Linked DNA regions of Arabidopsis thaliana. The protein of the gene in region 2 interacts with the protein of the main gene of each other region in a pairwise test. Each region holds a gene or a part of one and is shown on either strand. Other genes may lie near its edges. The genes, in order: AT5G63190, ETR2 and AT5G05200.

Region 1 (7,466 bases), on a different chromosome or scaffold from region 2:
ATGTTGGTTACATATTGTATGGTTATACATGGCCCACCGGAGATGTGTACGGAGGCTCCTCGTCCGTCTAGGGTTTTGAAAGAATTCATGATGAGTTCTTCTTTTAGTTGGATCGTCATGTCTCGCTTAAAAATGATCCATAGCGGTTCATCTTGAATGACTGCGTATCTTAGTGTTCCCGGTCTAGGGTTTACTGGATCATCGTTTCCTGGATCCGTGACCACATAGATTTCACCATCACGACCGCCAATAGCGTTCTTGCCAAAACCGATACCACAGTCTGCTAACCGTTTTCGGTTTTTCTCCCAATCCTTGTCGCATCGCCAACAATCATCGATTGGATTACCACTCCCGCACGAGAAGAACCCTAGCTTCCTTCTTGATATGGACTCGTTTATTTTTCTAATGCATTAACCAACAGACAATATATTAGCATTAATTAATCTTGACGTACGTAATTAGGCGTACTCATAAGTCATAGCTATTAATGCAGCAATAGTAACAAGTGAGTTTGTGATCAAGATCAAAATTAGCCTTGGATAGAAAGAACTTGGAAGCAATATCTAATACCAAACATTTGACTATTTGAGTGTATGTAAAATGCTTTTACATTTTTGTTAGAACATATACCTGTGTACTTCCTCGACAACAAGCTCAGGGTCGGAAACGGGCAAAGACGAAGCGAGAGCGGAGAACAAAATGCAGCAGAAAAAGATAAGTGCGAAGGATAGATATGAAGAATTTAGCATTGTGTTTCTTTGGCTTTTTGTTGTTGATAAATTTGAAGGTATTAAAAGAGAATTGGGACGAAACATATGAGTGAAGAGAGAAAGACAAAGCAAAGCGATAGACTATATAGCATATGAACACTTCGGGTGATTTATTGCGCATGCAACTTGACGTTAATTGGACCCACCTTGCTTAACCTTTTTCCTCTTCTTGTGAAATTATTTTGGTGTGTGAGAATGGAATCAACCCAAGTCATTTTAGAGAAGAAGAAATAATGCAAAATGTTTCCTAAGATTCAAATTTCATGATACCTGATAAAAAGTGTTTGGCTGAACTAAAAAGTGTTGTTCAGAAATGTAATTCTGATCAAGCTAAACGGAGCTGGTTATGATTTAAAAACGGAAGGAGTAATATCAGCCATCATTACAAATATAATTGGCTCAACAGTTCTAATAATTAAGATTATCAAACCGATAGCACTTAATACTGTATTCAACATTCAGGTAACGCTAGGAATGAGTCACGTGGCTTAAAGAAAAAAAACACAGAACTCGTAATTAAAATCTCAACGAACTTAAAGCTGAATGTTGGTGAAACACTAAGTACGGTGCACCAAAAGTCAACACTGTGTTAGTAATGTACTTTAGTACTAATATTTAATATTACGGTTTAATTTTTGTACCTTTATCATTACTTTTACGTTTTAACGGTTGAATATTATCAATAGCATAGCAGTTAGCTCAATTTAACTGATTTTTTTTTTTTCCTTTTTTTTTTTTTTTGTTAAAGCTCATATAGTAAAGTATTACATTTCGAGATACTTTAGTGTTTCTGCTATCTACTAAACCATATTTTGATAACTAAACGTATATGGATTGTAATTGTAAGAATACGATATTTGATACACTTTGAATTGTTTGATAAGTTGGTTTTAGAGTGTTTGTTATTATTATTATCTTTATACAAAATGAATTTCTTTTGGTGTCTCAAAGAGATATTGCTTGCAGGAAAAGAGAAAAGAATAGACCCACCAAAAGCAATAGAATAGGAGAACTGAGCCGACACTGGCCCATAGAGGTTTGATTTTGGGACCACCGAACCATGTGCTCGAGTCCAATCTTTCAATAAATTCTACACATATAATTTTCTTAAATTCATATAACGTTTTTAGAATAGTAGTGTATTCATTCATATCTAACAATCAGACCCTATGTTGAAATTTTGGCTGGTACAAAATGTGTTGACAATCAATGCACATGGGAAGTATTTGCATCATCACTCTATATCCTCCTCCTCCTCCACACTTTAAAAAGAACAATGTCTTTAAAAACTTAATCAACTATTCGATTACAAGTCTCGCCGACATTTTTCTTTTTGCTAGAGCCATTCATGTTGATGAATTTTCACTTCGGGCAAAAATATGGATCATGAGTTTAAGTCTAGTTTTTTTTTTTTAAATTACTGTTAGTAGCAAATTATTTTATACATTAAGCAAATTGTGTATTCTGGTACATAAACTGCAGAAAACAATTAAATGACATTTCTCACTACATTTTAGACAGTTTTGGACATTCATTCGATTAGTAAATGATTTCGTTCTCGTACGTGATGAAACACGAGAACCGATCGACATTAATGTTCCTTTTTCAGAATATTCTCAACGCTCAAAAGCTAATCTATATACATTTTTCACTACTTTTTACATGATTCATAGAATACAAAAATAATTGAACGCATTTGAATAAGTAACTAAATATAGAGTATGATAATATCTAATTCAACCATTTTAATTATTGACTACATTGGCTTATCAAACTGAAACTTGATCATTTGGATAAGCAAACTTAACAAATTAATGTTTTGAACAAATGCTCAACTTTACAAGTTTTTTTTGTCTTCTATACGAAATCAATTCAAGTTTCATGACATTGTCTTGTGAAAAAAAAACAAGAAAAAATGTAGAGAATTGACCTTTCTATAAAGAAATAGAGTCGTTAGATTGGATTTAAGGTGGTAGATATAAAGAAAACCGTCGGATCAGAAAATAGAGACAAAAGGGCATGTGACCGGTTTTTGCTTGAAAACTACTTGCTAACTTCTTCTCTACTCATTTATCAGTGTTATAATTTTTTTGTTTTTTTTATACACATAGTACGTTCACTAAAATAACAATTTAAAATGAATATTGATATAATTTAGTCATAATAATTTGAAAAATATAAAATACAATATCCATATCTGTTTTAAAACTATAAACATGATGGCCATGATCTAATAATATGATTCCATGAAGCATAAAACTTTTATTAACGTAGTCAACCATTGGATATTGTCCAGCCCAAAATATCTAATTCAATGGGCCGAACCTACCCAATACAGCCCATTGTTTTGGATTAAAATCTTTAAAAAAATTGGAGGCTAAATTAAAAAAAGAAGGAAATATTCTAAGCCCTCCACGTATTACGTTGATGACGTGTACCATCGTATATAAACAAATGCACAAAACTTTATTATATTGTTGTAAAGTAGTACTTTTATTGGCGATCCTCATCCATTTCCTCTCTCGTCGTTGTCTGGGAATCGGTGACTTTTGAATCTTTGCGACTCTCTTGTAGTGATAAATTGATCGTTATCTACTTTGATACTCTCCGGTCGTTTTTCTCCGGTGCTGGAGATCCGATTCCTTATCTTTTCTGTCTTGGCTCGAGATCCGAGCCAAGCAGTAAAGAAGACGACTTTGTTTCACGATTTGGAATTTGATTCCTGCGATCACAGGTATGACAGGTTAGATTTTGTTTTGTATAGTTGTATACATACTTCTTTGTGATGTTTTGTTTACTTAATCGAATTTTTGGAGTGTTTTAAGGTCTCTCGTTTAGAAATCGTGGAAAATATCACTGTGTGTGTGTTCTTATGATTCACAGTGTTTATGGGTTTCATGTTCTTTGTTTTATCATTGAATGGGAAGAAATTTCGTTGGGATACAAATTTCTCATGTTCTTACTGATCGTTATTAGGAGTTTGGGGAAAAAGGAAGAGTTTTTTTGGTTGGTTCGAGTGATTATGAGGTTATTTCTGTATTTGATTTATGAGTTAATGGTCGTTTTAATGTTGTAGATGGCATCGGGTGAGGGAATTTTGACGGATGGACAGTGGAAAAAGCTTGAAATAGCAACTCATAATTCTGGAAGTTTGTCATCATCGCCTAAATCTCATACTCTCTTTGCTGATCTGAACATTAAGTCTCCCACTGGTGGCAAAGGACCAGTTGCTGGGATTCCTAATAGGCATGTGCGACGTACTCACTCAGGGAAGCATATTCGTGTTAAGAAGGGTATTAAACTTTCTTCAACCTTTTGTGCTTGTTATTTGGCTAATAGATCCTTTTAGGGAGTGATATGACTCTTTATTAGTTCCTTTCAAATTTGCTTTAGTGAAAAGACTTAAGTTTTCAGTAGAAGAGTTCAAGTGTGTAGGTGATATATGGTTTACTTATGTGGCAATGATATCTGCAGAGGGTGCTGGTGGCAAAGGAACTTGGGGAAAGCTTCTTGACACTGATGATGGTGACTCCTGTATTGATAAGAATGATCCCAATTACGATAGTGGAGAGGTACTTTCATATTTGCGCCTTTTGTTTTGTGTTGGATACTTTTCCTTGTTTCTTTAGTGTATCTAACATCCCTTGATTTTATCTTTTATTAGTAGTTTGCTTTTTTCATTCATATACTCAATTTAACAGGACGCATATGATGGACTTGTTGATTCACCGGTATCAGACCCGTTGAATGATTACAAAAAGTCAGTAGTTTCCATCATTGACGAATACTTTAGCACCGGGGATGTGAAAGTGGCGGCATCTGACCTCAGGGAACTTGGTTCAAGCGAATATCATCCTTACTTCACCAAGCGACTTGTTTCTATGGCCATGGACAGACACGATAAGGAGAAGGAAATGGCTTCAGTGCTACTCTCTGCATTGTATGCTGATGTTATTTTACCTGATCAAATTAGGGATGGATTTATAAGACTTCTCAGATCTGTTGATGACCTTGCGGTGGACATCCTTGATGCTGTTAATGTCCTTGCATTGTTTATTGCACGGGCCATCGTTGACGAAATTCTCCCTCCGGTTTTTCTGGTTAGATCTAAGAAGATTCTTCCAGAATCTTGCAAAGGGTTTCAGGTTATTGTAACTGCAGAAAAGAGCTATCTCTCAGCTCCTCACCATGCAGAACTAGTGGAGAAGAAATGGGGAGGTAGTACTCACACTACAGTAGAAGAAACGAAGAAAAAGATATCTGAAATCTTGAAGGAATACGTGGAAAACGGAGACACTTACGAAGCTTGTAGATGCATCAGGGAATTAGGTGTCTCGTTTTTCCATCATGAGGTTGTGAAGAGGGCTTTGGTTCTGGCGATGGATTCTCCAACCGCTGAGTCACTTGTACTAAAGCTGTTGAAGGAAACTGCTGAAGAAGGACTGATCAGTTCGAGTCAAATGGTGAAGGGATTCTTCCGAGTAGCAGAGAGTCTCGATGACCTTGCTCTAGATATCCCATCTGCCAAAAAGCTGTTTGATTCGATAGTTCCAAAGGCTATTTCTGGAGGCTGGCTCGATGATTCATTTAAGATAACCTCTGATCAAGATGGAGAAAAATCGAGTCAAGACGGAAAGCTAAGACAGTACAAGAAGGATACAGTGAACATAATTCAGGAATATTTCTTATCAGATGACATTCCTGAGCTAATCCGCAGTCTTCAAGATTTAGGGGCACCTGAATATAACCCGGTGTTTCTGAAGAGGCTCATAACTCTTGCTCTAGACAGGAAAAACAGAGAAAAGGAAATGGCTTCGGTTCTTCTTTCTGCTCTTCACATGGAGCTATTCTCAACTGAAGATTTCATAAACGGTTTCATTATGCTCCTGGAATCGGCAGAAGACACAGCTTTAGATATCATGGACGCATCAAACGAACTTGCTCTGTTTTTAGCTAGAGCTGTGATTGACGACGTCTTAGCTCCACTTAACCTTGAAGATATCTCAACCAAGCTGCCTCCAAAATCAACCGGAACCGAAACAGTCCGCTCAGCCAGGTCTCTTATCTCCGCCAGACACGCAGGAGAGAGACTCCTAAGAAGCTGGGGAGGTGGAACCGGCTGGATAGTGGAAGATGCAAAGGACAAAATCTCGAAACTCCTAGAAGAATACGAAACAGGAGGAGTAACATCAGAAGCTTGTCAATGTATCCGCGATCTAGGGATGCCTTTTTTCAACCACGAAGTAGTGAAGAAAGCTTTGGTGATGGCAATGGAGAAGCAGAATGATCGGTTACTGAATCTGCTTGAGGAGTGTTTTGGTGAAGGATTGATTACAACTAACCAAATGACGAAAGGGTTTGGTCGTGTTAACGACAGCCTCGATGACTTGTCGCTTGATATACCGAACGCGAAAGAGAAGTTTGAGCTGTATGCTAGTCATGCCATGGACAATGGTTGGATCCTTCCCGAGTTTGGGATTTCTGCAACTCAGTGATTAGTGGTTCTCTTATCAGTTTCTTGTGTTTGTGCTTACGATACTTTCCTCACTATCTACATATATGTATGGATTCAGTTAGTAGATAAACATGAGATGTTTATATGTTCATGTGTTTCTGTCTGGTTGTTGTGTTTTGTCTTTGTACTGATATCTTTTAGTGTGTTCTAATTTCTGATGGATTTTTGTTACATTGAAAATAAGTTATTAGCATGGTTAATTTGTGTTAACTTATTACTCTTGTGATATTTTATGAAAATTATTTATAAATATAGAAAATATGGTAATTAAATTATAAAAAGATAAATAAAAATATATTTGTTCGGTCGGTGAGATAATTATGACTCCGGTTCCGGGATAGAGCAAACAAAAGGATAGACCAATACTCGTTGCCAAACAGCTTTATCCTCGTTTTTATATTTGTTTTGATTCTTTCTTCTTCTGCTCAACTTTACTGTCCGGCGTACTCAGCACCATCAATGGACCGCCCGGAGACGATCGCCGTCAAATGCGAACCCATGACCGTTGACTCTCCTTCTCGACCTCTAAAGCTTGTAGTTTTAGCTGACCTTAATTTCAATCCTCCTGAGACTGATGATCTTGACTCATCCATTCCAATCCCTACTCCTCCTCCCATCACTAGGTACTTCTACATACGTAGTTGTGTGTGTTTCAGCTAATTAACCTATTTCTTTCTGTTGCTTTCGACTAACTTTCTTTTGCTGAGATTTTTTTTTCCTCTGTTCGGAAGAAACATATGTTTGAAGTGACATTTTTGTTACGGGGTTGAATATATTGATGTCTTCTTATGCCGCAAAATCTAAAAATCGAGACTTTGGATATCTTTCAGCAAGAGTCTAAAAATGGGGAATTTTTTTTTTGATAAGTAGAGTTTGATTCTTACTGCTTTGGGGGATAGGAGAAGCTTCATGATTCTTAACTTAAATACATTTTTGTGTGTTTTAGGTTGAGTAACGAGGAAAGTCATCAAGAGGGAGGTATATTAACATGCAAGGAGGTGGAACCAGGAGAAGTAGAAGCCAAAAAGATCAGCAAGGTGGGAAAATGCCGCTCCAGAAGTAAGATTGAGTCTTCCTCTGATTGTGGAGTTGATGCAGATGGTGATCTGGCTAATCAAGGGGTCCCTGCATCCCGGGAAGAAAAAATCAGTAACCTCAAAATGGTGAGTTTATTGACTCAT
Region 2 (7,466 bases):
ATGTAATCTTCTCTAGTCCAGGGGGCATGAATCTAACAAATAATTACTATATTTTGATTTTTACTGGTAACAACTAATAAAGTCACACATTTTTTTCAATGATTCTTTTGTTTGAAAAGTTTATTACAAAAGTGGCAGACGACATTATCTACAACTTTTCATGTTCCAGGATAATTTAAGAGAGCTCTAATACCTACTAGAGAATTAACTTGATGTAGAGTAGTAACGAAGAAAATTTATCTTCAAAACTCTATAATGCCATATTCAGTTTCGTAAGTTCGTAACATAAAGAAAACAAAAAACTACGAAACTGACTCCTTCTTGACCCTACGAAATACTAAGATTCAATGCAATTTCGTGGGGTTCAAAATGAGAAAAAGAACAAAAAAAAACAGGATGTACAAATCATAGAGATATGGGTGGTATATATAATAACAATTTCGAAATTTCATTTTGATATATTTGACATAAATCTATGGTGTAAAAATTTTGAATGTAGAAGAGAAGTTGAGATAACAACTTAGAGAAGTTGGTCAGCTTGCAACAATACTCTTCGGAGCTCACTCTCCATAGCTCTTAACACCACTGGCTTTCTCACAACTCCATTGATTCCAATCTGTGCACACTTGTCCCACATTTCTTCATCCAAGCTCACTGTCGTCGCCACAATCAACGGCCAAGATCGACTCCTGATCCTCATGGCCACTTCATAACCGTCCATCTCTGCCATTTGAAGATCAAGCACCACCACTTGAAACGAAGTAGAAGGCGAGGACGAGCCGGGAGCAATGGCGGTAAGGCAATCGAATCCAGAGGAAACCGCGGTTACATCGCACCCGAGTTTCTCTAAGAGTTTACGTGTAACTGCCCGGTTCGAATCGTTGGTGTCTACCAATAAAACTTGTAAGCCACGTAACAGAGAATTCGAATGTGGGTGAGCGTGGTGGTCAGGAGCTGGCGACTCGCTGGATCCATGGACAGATATGGAGGGTCTACGTCGAAACCGAAGGAGCAACGACATGGTCTCCGGTGAACCATCCGAGCCAGGGACCACCGAGATATTCCCATGAATCAACTGCACACATTATCAAAGAACTCCTAAACAGAAACTCAGACTAATGACAGGAACTTTAGAAAGAGATATGTAAGGAAACTCACCTGCACCACTTTCTTACAAACACCAAAGCTTAGATCTTGTCCTAACCCATAGCCGCCGGAGAATCTAACATCACCAACTTCTTGATCTCTGGAGGAAACAGAAGCAAATGATTGAGAACTTGAATCATCATTCTCTACATTCATTTCAAATCTTATATACACATCTCCATCTGCTGAAGAAGCCGGTGATCTCCAAGCAGCCCATCTATGATCACTCCTATCCAAGCTTCCTCTTTCTTTCAAAACCTTAAACATCAATGAAGATCCTTCTTGACGTTTTCTAGGCTTTACTAAACTACCAACTATATGAAGTATCACTTGAAAGACCCTTCTTTCATCACCTACTACATTATCAGGTAGAGACTTCTCCGCGTCAACCAAGAACCTAATTCCATTGCATAGACACAAACATCTCGCCATACAAGCTGCTTCATGGATCGTACGATGCAGACTAAATGGTTTCATCTCCGTACCAAATCTACCGTCAGGCACATCCATAGAGTCCCCCACCAAATTCGACATAACATTCCCTGTTTTAACCATCGTATCAACAATCATTTTCTGCTCGTCACTCAACTTCTCGTCCTGAATCATCGACAAAAGACCGAGTATCGAATGCATAGGACGCCTCATCCCTTCGCTCATCGTTTTCTGAAACGCATTCCTCGCTTGGCTCGCTCTCAACGCGTCTCTCTTCGCCATCTGCAACGCCCTGTTCTGTTCCGCCAGCTTCTCCCTCATAAGCTGAGACTCTTCAAGAACCGCTGCATGATCTAACGCAACGGTTACTTGATCCGCCACAACTTTAACAATCTCAATCTCCTGATAAGTCCAATCCCGAGGCGTCCCGCCCGGTAAAACACAAACAAGTATCGCATAACTTAGCTCTCCATTAAAATCCGAAACACGAAGCATCGGCATTCTAATAGCAGCCACGGCACCAATCTCACTAACATCCCCACCACCACCACTAGCTCGAGCAATGGACGAGTCAACACTCAACACATTCACTTCATCACTCTCCCTAATCCTAACAACATCCAAATCCTCCATAGAAACAGAACAACCACCATAACCACCTCTCCCTCTCAACTCATGAGTCAAATCCATCTCCGTTCCACCGTCATTCGGCATCCAAACCGCACAATTCTGCAACCCTAAAGTCTTCGAAAGCTCAACCAAAGTAGTATAAAGAATCGTATGACGATCCAAAGACTTACGAATCTCTTGAGTAAGCATACGAACATGAAAGCCAGTCTCTTTCTTAATCAAAATCAAACCAACTTCACGACCAAGCTCATGAGCTTTCTTCTTAAGCATAAACTCTCTAACTTTAACTTTCAAAAGCAGAGGAATCAAAGTAATAAGCGTAATCGCAGTAGCACAAGAGACTAAAGCAGTCAACATCTTGAAAACAGTAAACGCCATCATTAATCTAAATGGATGAGCAGAGTAAGTCCAACCATGAAGAAGATGAGTCATACCACAAAGAACAATGAAGGCGATAAACTCAAAGAGAACCCATTTGAATGGAACATTGGAACAACTCACGAAGTAAAGTAACTCAATAGGGATTGAGAAATAAGCTACTGCGATTAAGAAATCGCTTACTCTTTGAGTTTCTAGAATGTTCTCTGTACTCCAGAAACTGTTTCCTTCGTCTTCGCAGTTACATCGTGGATAACCACCGCCGTTTATAGCTAAAACCGGAGAAACAAACACCACCATTGATAGTATCAATAACCAAGAAGCTATTTCTTTAACCATCTTCGGAGAAAAAAAATGCTTAGTCCATTATACTCTGCAATTAGAAAAACAAGAAACAGAGTGAGAAATAAAAATCAAAACTTTAATTTGGGTAATAGTAGAAAGAACAGAGAAAGAAAAATTTGGAATACCTGAAAGAGATGAGTTTGGATCAAAATGAAACAGTTCTCAGATCTCTCATCGACCTGTGAAATTCCAACGAAGTGATGTACGAGAATCTTCTAATTCTCTTCGACATTCCGATCTTCCTCTCATAGAAGAACAACGATGACGAGAATAAAAATACACAAAGAGAAAGACAGAGACAGAACAAAAAAAGCTGGTGATGACAAAACCAGAAGACTTAAAAGTGAAGAGATAGAGACAAATCTGAAACTACTTTGAAGTTATATAAAAAAACGTGAAGTACGTTTATTTATATATGCCGGAGATGATTAGTGCCGGAAAACCGCCATAAGCCGCCGATGGAGGATAAAAAGAGAAGTGTATGTATAGGGTGTAAGTAAAGGTAGGAGCCGTTGGTTTTAGAGGAAGGTTTTGAGATTTTTTCTTCTTCTTTATTCTCTGATTTAGAAACTTAAAGAGGTCCCACTTGTTCTTACATGAACCGAACTTAGACGGTCTTTTGAATTTTTTCTGAGTTGTGTTTTTTTTCTTACACTTAATAATTTTTTGGTCACTAATGTATTAATAAATCATTTAATATTGAAAACATTTGTTATTTCCTCAACTTGTACGTTTTATAAATTTAACTTATTACAAGCTGTAACATAGAATAATTAATGGGTACTCTGAATTTTATCAAAATCCCGTATATCATGAGACTGAAGAATAGAATAAAGCTTGTTTATTTGTATATGAATGAGTAAAATATTGGTATAATTGTTGGAAACTATCAAGCCACATGACATGAATCTAGGAACCTAAAAATTATTTTAATAAATGTGTTTTATTCCAAGAAAGTATAAAATTAAGACCAAGGAGGCAAATAGATCATATATTTCTTAAATTAGCTTTGTTTATAAACAAAAGAGCACAAAATCTAACGTAATCACTGTGTTTTGAACTGACACAAGTAGTCGGATATTTGATGAGATTAGTCTAATACTCTAATTAGATATTTTAATTAGTCAAATATTTACAAAAAGAAGATATGTATAACGCCTTAAGATGTTGATTAATATGAGGGACCTACAAAACTGTGATCTTTGATTTTATTATAATGTTTCCTTCACCATACATGAATCTAAAGAGTAATGAGTATATATTTGAAACCACATTGCTATTACTTTCCTAACTTTTAATTGTATGGTTTTGACTCTAGAAGAAACCATGTTAGACCACAGAATGTCAGAATCGCATGTGTTCTTTTATATTGAAGCTCTAATTAGTATCTACCAATCATCTTTGAAAAACATCATTGTTTAAAGCCTTTGTACATATTTATTTTATTTATTGATAGTACTATCTAAAGAAATTGAACCTAGAAGTTTTTAGACGACACGTTACCTAAGTTTTTTTTGTTGGTGTTTTTAGTGGTCACTGTAACAACAGAGAGTTTTAGCATCACTACCTATAACCATAATCTTGATGCTTCAAACGGAGTCATACAATTACAGAACAAAAAAAAATACATTGAAACTCTTGAGCATATTTTGTGAAGCTAGTTCGGATAATTTTGAATTTCCACAAGTAACAAAGTTTCTTGTTGTTTTTGTAATAAATCCCATCTTTATCTATAGAATGAGTACAAAGTCTCAAGAGACATTTAACTTTTTGCAACGATCTAGAAGAAAACACTTTAAAAGGCTCTCATGCGTTCTTCTTGCTTAACAATTAGTCACCGACTGTCAAATGCAAATGTTCTCCTAGAACCACAGTCATAACAGGGTGCTTTTCAATGCATGAGCACAATGAGAAGGAAACCCATATATCAAATATACAACTTATATATGACCATTAATCGCTTCGGTTACATTTATTTACCTCACGGGCAACACCTTCGTTTTTCAAAGATTCATCTTCTCGTAGATCAAGAATTACCATAACATCATATCTGAACCATGAACGAATGCAAATATTATATGTTTCCTCAACAATAGAGCATAGAGAAGTGGTATTTTTAATTAAGATATGTACTATCTACAGCTGCATCAATCTCTGTATCTTTCAAACCATCTGGACGTTTGAAATCTCTGACAATCTAAACAACACATGAACAAAATGTGTCATGAACATGGGTTCTTGAAGATACTGTAAACTTAAACAAGAAAGAAAATAAACTTAATGTTAAAGGTGGTGATATAAGGAAGATGTTGTCAAATCTAACCTTCTTAATTATCTCGTTCTCAAGACAAACACGATAGTCATCTGCACCAAAGACAGGAGCACAATGGACAATACCAGTACCACTATCATTCATGACATAATCATCTGCTACTAGTCGAAAAGTCACACTTGAGAAATCGCTAAAAGTAATCAAACAAAGGTTCATACTTCTTCCCAACCAAGGAATCTCCATTAAAATTTTCCAAAACTTGATAAGAATCCTCTTCACTGTCAAGCTTAATTAGCACCTTTCGCATTATGGTATCACTAGTAAGTTCCATTAGTTAAGCCGGCCTTAGGCTTATCACTAGGAAGCGATGACAACCGAGATTCAGCAACAATGTAGACTTTTCCAGTGTTGTTGACGAACCTTAAGATAGACAAACTTTGCATTGACACACAAAGCAAGATTACTTGGAAGAATCCATGGAGTAGTAGTCCATGCCACAAGAGCCGTATTATCTTGGATCTCCGATAACAGGGAATGTAACCATTACTAAATATGCAACACAATATGCAACAATAAATATGCAAAAAAAATATATATATTTAACACAAAAAAAAAAAAAAAAATGCAACAACAGAATGTTATAATCTTCATTAGCAACAAGGCCAACAACAACATACCTTATAGTTCTGACCAGCTTCAAAATTAGATAGTGGTGTTTTACAACCAGTACTATAAGGCATAACCTTGAAGCATCTATAGACAAGATTCTTATAAAAAAATCAGCCTACTACACCCAATTAAAATCTTTAATTTGAGTTATATATTTTAACACCGTCATTTCAATTTTTCCATGATTTTTAAGCCCAGCAAATCATAATCTGGCTCTTGAAATTTACGAACCCAAAAATCAAACCTCCAAATGATATTGGGCCTTTTAACTGGTCATACTTTGATCGCTACTTCTACTTCTAAACTTCAACTTTCAGTTCATAAAACCCAGATTTGACTTTCATTTACTCTCCTTTATTTTTTATGCATGTAATATACTATCACATTTTTATAATCATAATTTGTTTTACAACATCAAGGCTATGATTGATTCATATGAGCTCACATGGGTCTGCAAAAATGTAGTTTCTAAATTTGGAAGGCTTTTCAAATGGTGTAAATTATAAACTTCACCAACCTATTATTAAAACGCATATAATGTTTATCCCATTGCAGTTCGAATTCATTCATAATATAAGTTTAAACTTACTTTATAATGTAAATTCATACAAACCCACTTGAAATGTAAATTCATGTAAAATATTATACAAGAGAATGATAGATAGTCTTTGATTATACAAACCCAAATTTCATACAACGTAACTAATTATTAGAACATATTACGCAAAACTACTTGATCTATAGATCTACACTAATATATAGTTATGGAAAAGAACAATAATCCTGTACTATACAAACCCAACTTCAGACAACAAGAACATTTTTTTTTCTTTTTGAAAAAGGTATAACAAAAACATTACTCAAATTAACCTATTTGATCTATAATTTTTAAGTGAAAAATATAGTCTTGAATTATACAAACCCAAACTTCATACGATCATGATAAAAACATGACTCCAAGTCCAACATATTTTGATCATACTACATATATATTGAAAACATATATAAACACCACAATAAACATCATGCACTATACGGTGATTAACTTTCAACTATATATATATATTGTATATGGTTACGTGGATCGAACGTGAGGGAAACCGCTGCAAGCTTAATGATGACGATGACCGCCGAGTCGAAGATCAAGATCAAGATCACCATCTTGAGGTTGAGAACCTCCGGTCTCTGGTGGGCTCCGGTGAGTGTCATCATCTTCATTCATGGATCCGAGCCCTAAGCTCAAATTAAGATCATGAGACGCCCCTTGAGCAAATCTCCCTCCTCCTCTTGATGATGATGATGATCCAAAGTATTGTGTGTTGTGGCTAGGGTTAATAGGTGGCTGAGACCCTTGGTGTAGGTATGACTCAATGGTCGGAAAATAAGGAGGAGGGTTTGTGAAGTTTGTGGAGGAGGAGGGAGACTGAGATGGTAACGGAAGAGAAAATGGAAATGAGTGAGAAGAAGAAGAGGAGGAGGGGTATCTTTCGCGTTCCCTGCGGTGGATGTTATTGTGACCACCGAGGGCTTGAGGATTCGTGAAACCTCTCTTGCAGATGTCGCAGTCATAAGTCCGGCGGTTTTCTCCAGAGCC
Region 3 (7,466 bases), on a different chromosome or scaffold from region 2:
ATTCATTCTGGAGACTGCTCTCTCTGTTCTTTGATGTTCTTGAAGATCTTAGAACTCTTGTCAAAAATCTTTGCTCTTCTGTTATAATCTTTAGGGTCCTTCCCATCATCAGCCCCCATGATAGCTTCCTTCTCAAGGTAATCAACAGGAGCCTGATCTCTCTGTTCATTTAAGTTCTTGAAGATCTTAGAACTCTTGTCAAAAATCTTTGCTCTTCTATTGTAATCTCTAGGATCTCTCCCATCATCATTCCCCATAATAGCTTCTTTCTCAAGGCACTCCAAGAGCTCCCATACTCCTCTGTTTACTTCTCCACCACATATCCCTCTTCTCTGAGTCAATTCCTCCTCTTCCTCCGGCGTAATTGGCTCCATTGCCGCAGCATAATCCGATCCTGAAGCCACGCATCTAGCAGCAGCAACCCACCTCTCCTTCTTGACTTTAAGGCTCAGCTTTGTTTGTGGAATTGCCGTGACTGGAGATGAGGTTTTATATATCCTCTGAGATGGGTTGGTGATGATCTTTGTGCAGGTTTGAGAGATAGCTTCCATTGTTTTGTCTGGTAGAGTTTTGTTGGGTCTCTCGGTGGGTTTATATAAGGTTTGGGTAATGTGATCCATTGGCACACGTCATTCATCATACGTGTGGGAATGGCGATGAGTAAGAGAGTTTTCGAGATTCCCCAAGCTGGTTCTTGTGCCACGTGTCTCGAGACTCTTTCACCGACCTACTTTGACTCTCTTTTCGGCTTTATCCAAGCTTTTTGTTTAGCATAGTAAAGCTTACTGTTCTAAATCAGACACGTTTGTTTAGATCTAGAACTTTTCTGAAAGATATTTTCTGTAGTATGAACCAGGCCAAATCGGATCCAACAAAAGTTAATAATTCAAATCTACTCGGATTAGTTTGATTTCTCACATATGACTTCAGATCAAAGTAAATCTAAATGAACACAACTTGCATTGATTATCTAGCTTGAATTACCTAGTATTTGTAATCTCGCATTCAATATATGCTAATTTCTGTGACAAGTTTATCTAAAACCTGCCTGATAAGAGCATTCACTGTAAGGAACAACACATTGAGTAGCAAATGGAACATCTGAAAAGTCTACAAACTGCAAAGTAAAACGAACAAGAAGATAACAAATATTGCTAGGGACTTGACTAGATGAAAATTCCCAAAATATGTTTTTCGATTTCAGATGTGCAAAAACCCTCTTCACAGCCTTTGTGAGGATCACATCGTTGAAATGTTGGAACACAAAAGGCGTGTGGAAGACTTGAATTCTAGTTTCCACCTTCATTGATAAACCCTTCTTTGCGGCCTTCAAAGCCAGGACGCAGGAGCTTTTTCTCTCTCTTGGCGATTTTGCGCATCTTATTCTGTTCAATCCTATCGGCAATATTCCCTGATCTCTTTTGCTGCTTCTCCACCTTGAACTTTTGTTGCCCTTCAATTCTCTCTTTCCACTTCTCTGCGTTCTTCTCTTGCCTCTTTTTGTCTTTGTGGATGCTTTGCTTCAATAGCTTTGGGTCATCATGAACCTTGATACCAGCTGCTCTGCTTGTAGCTGCCTTCCATGAGTGCTTCTTTGCAATTACATCACCTTTTTCTGGATCCTTCTTTGCAGCCTCTAACTTCATAGCCCTTTCAAGTTCTCTTGCCTTTGAAAGCCTTCGTTTCTTTTTCTCTTTTCCGTGTTCTTCATCGTCATCAATCTTGACATAACCAAATGTAAGGTCCTTAGCAGCCTCCTCCACATCCAACTTACCCTTACCTTTATCTGCTGACTTAATCTCCTCCACAGTCTTCTCCTCAGAAACTGTATCCCTCTTTCTCTTATTTGGCAGATTCTTCTTCCTTCTTTCATTGCTTCTTGGTCTATCTGAACCTCCACGACCACCTTTGAGCTCATCAATTTTGCGGTGGAGGCGTTCCCTTAGCTCTTCGTACGTAACAGATCGATCATCCTTTTGTCTGTTATTATCTGTTTCCTCCTTACTGTCATCATCATTTAGTCTGTTGTTATCTGTTTCCTTCTTACTGTCATCATCAGGAAGCTCAGTACCTGATTTTTCCTGCTCTAGCTTCTGCTCCCGTAAATCCGCGTGTTTCTTCTTAAGCTTCTGCTTCTGTGAAGCCAATCTTTCCTTCTCTATCTTCTCCTTCAGTAAATCGAGAGTCGTCAAAGCAGACTTCTCTGGGTCCAACTTATCTCTCTTCGCCTTCTTTAGGTTGTCATTTGTTTTTTTCTTGGCTCTAGCTTTTTGAGCCTTGCTAAGACCTGGATACCATTTCCTTTCTGTCTCATCAGGTAAGTAGAATCTAGCAGGCGTGAGCTCTATCAACTTATCGAAAAATTCAGTATGCTGATGAGTCTTGAAATCCATTTCAGAAACATGTTTACCCTTTTTCTTTGTCATCTACAACAATAACCAAAACCAATCACAATCAGAAAAAAGCCCTTTTGGAGAAATGACAAATAATAAACTAAGGACTCATAGTCCAAGTTTCATAAAAACTATAGAATCAAGACTTACAATGGCAGATTAACAAAATATTAGATGATAAAAAGTTAACAGTGGAAATCAAAACTTACATCAGTCCCACGAGTTTTAGTCATTGCTCTCCACAGAGGAGATTAGTCCAAAAGTCGTAAACCTCAAGACAATCTGCAGCAATAAAACAAGGATATATTAGTAACTGTGAAAGACTACAGATATCATAAGACATGTATTTCGATATACATTATACATAGCTATAACTAAGCTGGTACAAATACATTCAGAATTTCCTGCATCTTGTCAGAATCGAGCAAGTCACTGAATCACATCAAGTGACACCAAGTTTACTCGTTTGCTAGATAGATACAGAACTAAAGAAGATGACTTTGTAGACACCATTAATCCATAAAAACAAAATTCCAAGTTGTGTAATTGAGCAAATATCCTTATTCATTATCCAGAAGAGAAACAGAAACCTTAGTATAATACAACAAGTTTCCCCAGTATAACAAGCTCAGGATGAATAAAGAGGATAAGAAGCAAACATAAACAAGCCAAAGAAACAAATCTTATCCTACAAAGAATAGAAGAACCCTAAAGCAAACAAGGATGAATCGTAGAAACAAATAAAAGTTGAAGTTTCTACATATCAGTTCAGGAATCATTATAACTCAGAACTCATTATCTTAAGTGATAAACAATTCTGACTCTATAATCAATTTTTTTAAGCTACAAGCACAAACCCAGATGGAAAGAGAGCGAATTGATGGAATAAAAGAAAGACAATCGAAGGAAAATCTCACCGGTAGCGACGATGGCGAATCAACGGCGTTGAGAGAAGAAAAAAGACAGAGAGACGAAGATGAAGAGGTTCCGTGAAAGTGGTTAGGGTTTGAATGGTTTTGTTATTTCTCAATTTTTATAAGGGTATTTATGTAAAACCGCGTTATCTCAACTTCTCCTCCAGCGTCGCAAAAACGGTTCGGTTTAATGGGATTTAAAAGAGGTTAACCGGAAATCGAATCGTACCGAGAGTTTTTCACGAATATGTTGTGACTTGTGAGGAGGAAAACAACCACTTACACGTTTCCACGTGGCATATTCCCCTTCACTCCGCCTCAGGATATTTTCAATTTTCAAAATATACAAAACGGTGTCGCTTTTCTGTGCGTTTTGTGAGTAATAAAGCTTGACCGGAGTGTCTTGTCTCTGCTGCTTCAATCGCCGGCGAACGATGGCGGTCTCAGCTTTCCGTGGCACGCGGTTACCGTTATTTCACCATTCTCAGGTTTACTTGTTTTCTCTTCTCTTTCCTTCAGTAAAGTCGTTTCCTTGATCTGCTCTTTATGGCTTAGCTACCAAAATTTGCAAAGGTCCTTTACTCGCTGCTCAATCTCGATAGCTTCATTTTTCAGTTTCCCGTCGCGAGAACTGTGTCAGGAACGTCTAAGAAGATGATCGGAGCCAGGAATTTCAAGGGTTTTGTTCTTACAGCCCAGTATTCGCAAACTCAGGACCTTTTCACTTCTCGTCTTCAAAGTACAGAAATTTCCTTCTTCTTGTAAACTCAATCTCATTGTATACATCTATGATTCTGAATTGTATCTCGTTAGGGTATTCTTTGTTGCTTATTGGATTTATTTTGTAAAAATCTACATATTGGATGACAGTTTATTGATCCATTTACTTGTTTACATGGCTTTTGATGCAGGCCAGATAGAGAAATTGCCCAAATTGGTTGAGGATATAGTTCAGACATCGATAAACACAGGTCCACGAGGTGTGACACGCCTTGTCCAAGGTGTTCAAGCCTTTGTAGGGGTTGGAGGAGAGTGGCTAAATGATTTATCTAAGGTGGCTGAAATTATCTTTTTGCTTATGATGTCAAACTATCTTTGATTGCTAACTACTCTCTCACTCGCTGCAGTCTACAAGCGCGTCTGGTGGATTACCAAGTGAATTGCAGCTTGGTCTACTGTCTCCTCTATATTTGAGGAAACTCTTTGAACGCATGGGAGCTACTTACATTAAGCTGGGCCAGGTAAATCATGTTGCTAAATGTAGAGCATATTGTATCCTCTGATGATATCATGTAAATATCTAGAACCATGTGAACTGTGTATGTCTAAAGTAAGCTTAGTTATCATATTTTGTTGCTTCTCTATATATTTCCTATTCTATCCATTTAACAATACTTGTAATGTATCTTTGAATTTGTAGTTTATAGCATCTGCGCCAACTTTGTTCCCACCAGAATATGTCAAAGAATTTCAGAACTGCTTTGACAAAGCTCCTCCTGTGCCATTTGAAGAAATTCGTAAAATCTTGCAAGAGGAGCTTGGGAGACCCATTGAAAGTGTATACGAATATGTTGACCCTACGCCAATTGCATCAGCCTCAATAGCACAAGTGTGTTCTTCTACTTGTACTTCAATGATCAAAATTCATTTTGTTCATGTACTCTTCTTCTGCTTAAGGGAATCATCATGACCAGGTCCATGGTGCAAGGCTTCGAGGCTCCCAAGAGGATGTTGTGATTAAAGTCTTGAAGCCTGGGATAGAAGATTTCTTAGTGGCAGATTTGAACTTTATCTACGTTGTTTCCCGTATATTTGAGTTCCTTAGTCCTGAGTTTAGCCGTACTTCACTGGTAATCTCCTCTGTATTTGATTTGCAGTCGCTCTTAAGATACTCTCTAAACAATATTATCCTATGGATAGGTTGGAATTGTCAAAGATATTCGTGAGTCAATGCTTGAAGAAGTAGATTTCAATAAGGAGGCTCAAAACATTGAGTCATTTAAGAGATATCTTGAAACCATGGGGTTGACAGGGCAAGCTACTGCTCCAAGAGTATATAAGTACTGCAGCAGCCGGCGGGTACTTACAATGGAGAGGCTATATGGAGTTCCTCTGACTGATCTGGACTCTATAAGATCACTTGTTTCCAGTCCCGAAAACAGCCTTATTACCGCGCTTAATGTGTGGTAAGATCTTTGAAATTCAATATTATGATTAAGATTGTTCTCCCTCCTAAATGTAGCTGTTAGTAAAATGAATCTTCATGTGATGTAACTTGCAGGTTTGGAAGCTTACTTGCTTGTGAAAGCTTCCATGCTGATGTACATGCAGGAAACTTATGGCTGTTGCGTGATGGCCGGATTGGGTTTCTTGATTTTGGTAAATCATACTCTCTCAAGCCTAATTAGTGCAACATTTCTTGCCTACTTACCTCTGACTCATCTATTAATACAGAAAAATGCAGTCTTTTTCCATAAATACTCTTCCTTTTTATTGGTAATTTTTTGTGTATTCAAGTAAGTATCCACATTTTTTTCAGGCATTGTTGGTCGGATATCCCCCAAAACATGGGCTGCTATGGAAGTATTTTTAGCGTCTATTGCAACTGAAGAATATGAATCCATGGCCTCAGCTTTGATTCAAATGGGCGCCACAAACAGAGATGTTGATGGCAAAGCTTTTGCAAAAGACTTGGAAAAGATGTTCTCATCTATCCAGGCAAGAAATTTTACTCTTTACTGACTATGATGGCTCTCTGTAACCAGCTACATCTGTTCAGAGGAACCAGCTTGATTTGCTTTCCGAACTGTAGTGCAAAACAACTACAACAACTTTGGCTAATCTTATAGAGAAAAGTGAATCTCTTCTTGCAGGAACTAGATACAGAGATAGTAGTGGCTACAGCTCGTGGAACAAATTCAGACACTACTGCTGTTGCTGCTAACGTAGTTATGGATGAGAGACAGATGAATGCTCTTTTCCTCGACCTGGTAAGCAGTTAGACGTAATTTCTTAAGGATTTTTTTTTGGTTTGAAAGTTGTTAAGAGGATATAGAAGTTGCATTGAGTTAAGATAAACCCCAGGATTTGAGCTTTCAGCAGTTGAAAATAAGTTCACTTTCTTATAGGTGCGTGTTAGCGAATCATATGGTCTTAAGTTCCCGAGAGAGTTTGCACTTCTGTTGAAGCAACTTCTGTACTTCGATCGATACACAAGACTATTAGCCCCAAACCTGAACATGCTGCAGGATCAGCGGATCTCTATCGCGTCCAACAAGAGGACGAATGGATACAAGGACAGCTTCAACTAAGTTTATGCAAATATACTTCACTAAACCTATTCAAACTTTTTATTTATTTACAAGTGGTAATGTTATAGTAGATTATCAAGCCAAGAACGATGATGAATTCAATCTTGTTACAAACATATCATGACTATATACAACAGATGAACTATATCTTCTTCTATTTTTTTGTATAATTTTTCACAAGTGTCATGGTTTCTACTTTAAACAAAAGTGCAGAGACAAATCTTTTACCTATACACAGAAGTGAAATAAAGAATGGCAAACAATGGCAAAACTTTCCATCTCAGATTCTCAGAAGTTCATAGTTCTCGTTGCTTCATCTGAAGCAGAGATCTATATAGAAGGAGGACGCTGTGAAACTTTAAAGACTTGGCTTACAGTAGAATATCCCATTAGTCGGTGAAGCGGAGAGCCTCTAGCCACAGGTAGCTCCTCATCCTGAACAGAGGATCTCAGCTTTTCAGGTTTGGAGGGAGCTTTGTCTATGGGAGACTCTGATGTTGAATTGCTATTCCTATTAGCATTTATGTCATGTGTTACTGCAGGAACTAAATGATTTCTGGACTGAAGTGAGAATCTGAGAACAGTGGTGCAAGTGCCGCATCTGAGAAGATGATGTTTCCTCTTGAAAATGAGAAAGTCTACAGGAAGCTGCAGGTTTTCTGAGCAACTGTAACAGCTAACAAAAGGTGCCCCACCAGCTGTTGGACGGACATGACGCTTGGCCACACGTTGTCTCTCTCTTAGACGACGGGTCTGTAACTCATGGTGGTGGCCAGCATGTCTATTACGCTGATGATCCTCCACGTCTGAGACTATCTCACGCCTCCATCTCGGATGATACTCAGGTT

Evidence for each region.
Region 1: the proteins of ETR2 (region 2) and AT5G63190 interact in a two-hybrid assay, tested with the Arabidopsis thaliana proteins (one study listed by BioGRID).
Region 3: the proteins of ETR2 (region 2) and AT5G05200 interact in a two-hybrid assay, tested with the Arabidopsis thaliana proteins (one study listed by BioGRID).

What each region holds. Positions count from the first base shown.
Region 1 is NC_003076.8:25,342,299-25,349,764, forward strand, and holds AT5G63190 (MA3 domain-containing protein), read left to right. Parts: upstream 1-3,243; 5' UTR 3,244-3,504; exon of another isoform or gene 3,505-3,513; intron 3,514-3,846; coding exon 3,847-4,063; intron 4,064-4,244; coding exon 4,245-4,342; intron 4,343-4,430; exon of another isoform or gene 4,431-4,471; coding exon 4,472-6,265; 3' UTR 6,266-6,502; downstream 6,503-7,466. Other genes in the region: AT5G63180 (Pectin lyase-like superfamily protein), read right to left, coding at 1-402, 631-815; AT5G63200 (tetratricopeptide repeat (TPR)-containing protein), read left to right, coding at 6,745-6,908, 7,232-7,448. UniProt on the Arabidopsis thaliana protein: Involved in target of rapamycin (TOR)-regulated translation control, especially under energy-deficient conditions.
Region 2 is NC_003074.8:8,250,615-8,258,080, reverse strand, and holds ETR2 (Signal transduction histidine kinase, hybrid-type, ethylene sensor), read right to left. Parts: upstream 3,523-7,466; 5' UTR 3,057-3,522; intron 2,960-3,056; 5' UTR 2,926-2,959; coding exon 1,159-2,925; coding exon of another isoform or gene 1,111-1,158; exon of another isoform or gene 1,076-1,110; coding exon 521-1,075; 3' UTR 193-520; downstream 1-192. Other genes in the region: AT3G23145 (ATP binding / aminoacyl-tRNA ligase/ nucleotide binding protein), read right to left, coding at 4,885-4,949, 5,065-5,128, 5,255-5,440, 5,624-5,722, 5,881-5,943; URO (C2H2 and C2HC zinc fingers superfamily protein), read right to left, coding at 6,984-7,466. UniProt on the Arabidopsis thaliana protein: Ethylene receptor related to bacterial two-component regulators. Acts as a redundant negative regulator of ethylene signaling.
Region 3 is NC_003076.8:1,543,358-1,550,823, reverse strand, and holds AT5G05200 (Protein kinase superfamily protein), read left to right. Parts: upstream 1-3,616; 5' UTR 3,617-3,741; coding exon 3,742-3,795; intron 3,796-3,922; coding exon 3,923-4,046; intron 4,047-4,218; coding exon 4,219-4,361; intron 4,362-4,434; coding exon 4,435-4,548; intron 4,549-4,727; coding exon 4,728-4,916; intron 4,917-5,001; coding exon 5,002-5,157; intron 5,158-5,227; coding exon 5,228-5,493; intron 5,494-5,588; coding exon 5,589-5,686; intron 5,687-5,846; coding exon 5,847-6,025; intron 6,026-6,180; coding exon 6,181-6,297; intron 6,298-6,435; coding exon 6,436-6,618; 3' UTR 6,619-6,817; downstream 6,818-7,466. Other genes in the region: AT5G05220 (uncharacterized protein), read right to left, coding at 3-551; AT5G05210 (Surfeit locus protein 6), read right to left, coding at 1,290-2,426, 2,603-2,626; AT5G05190 (hypothetical protein (DUF3133)), read right to left, coding at 6,949-7,466.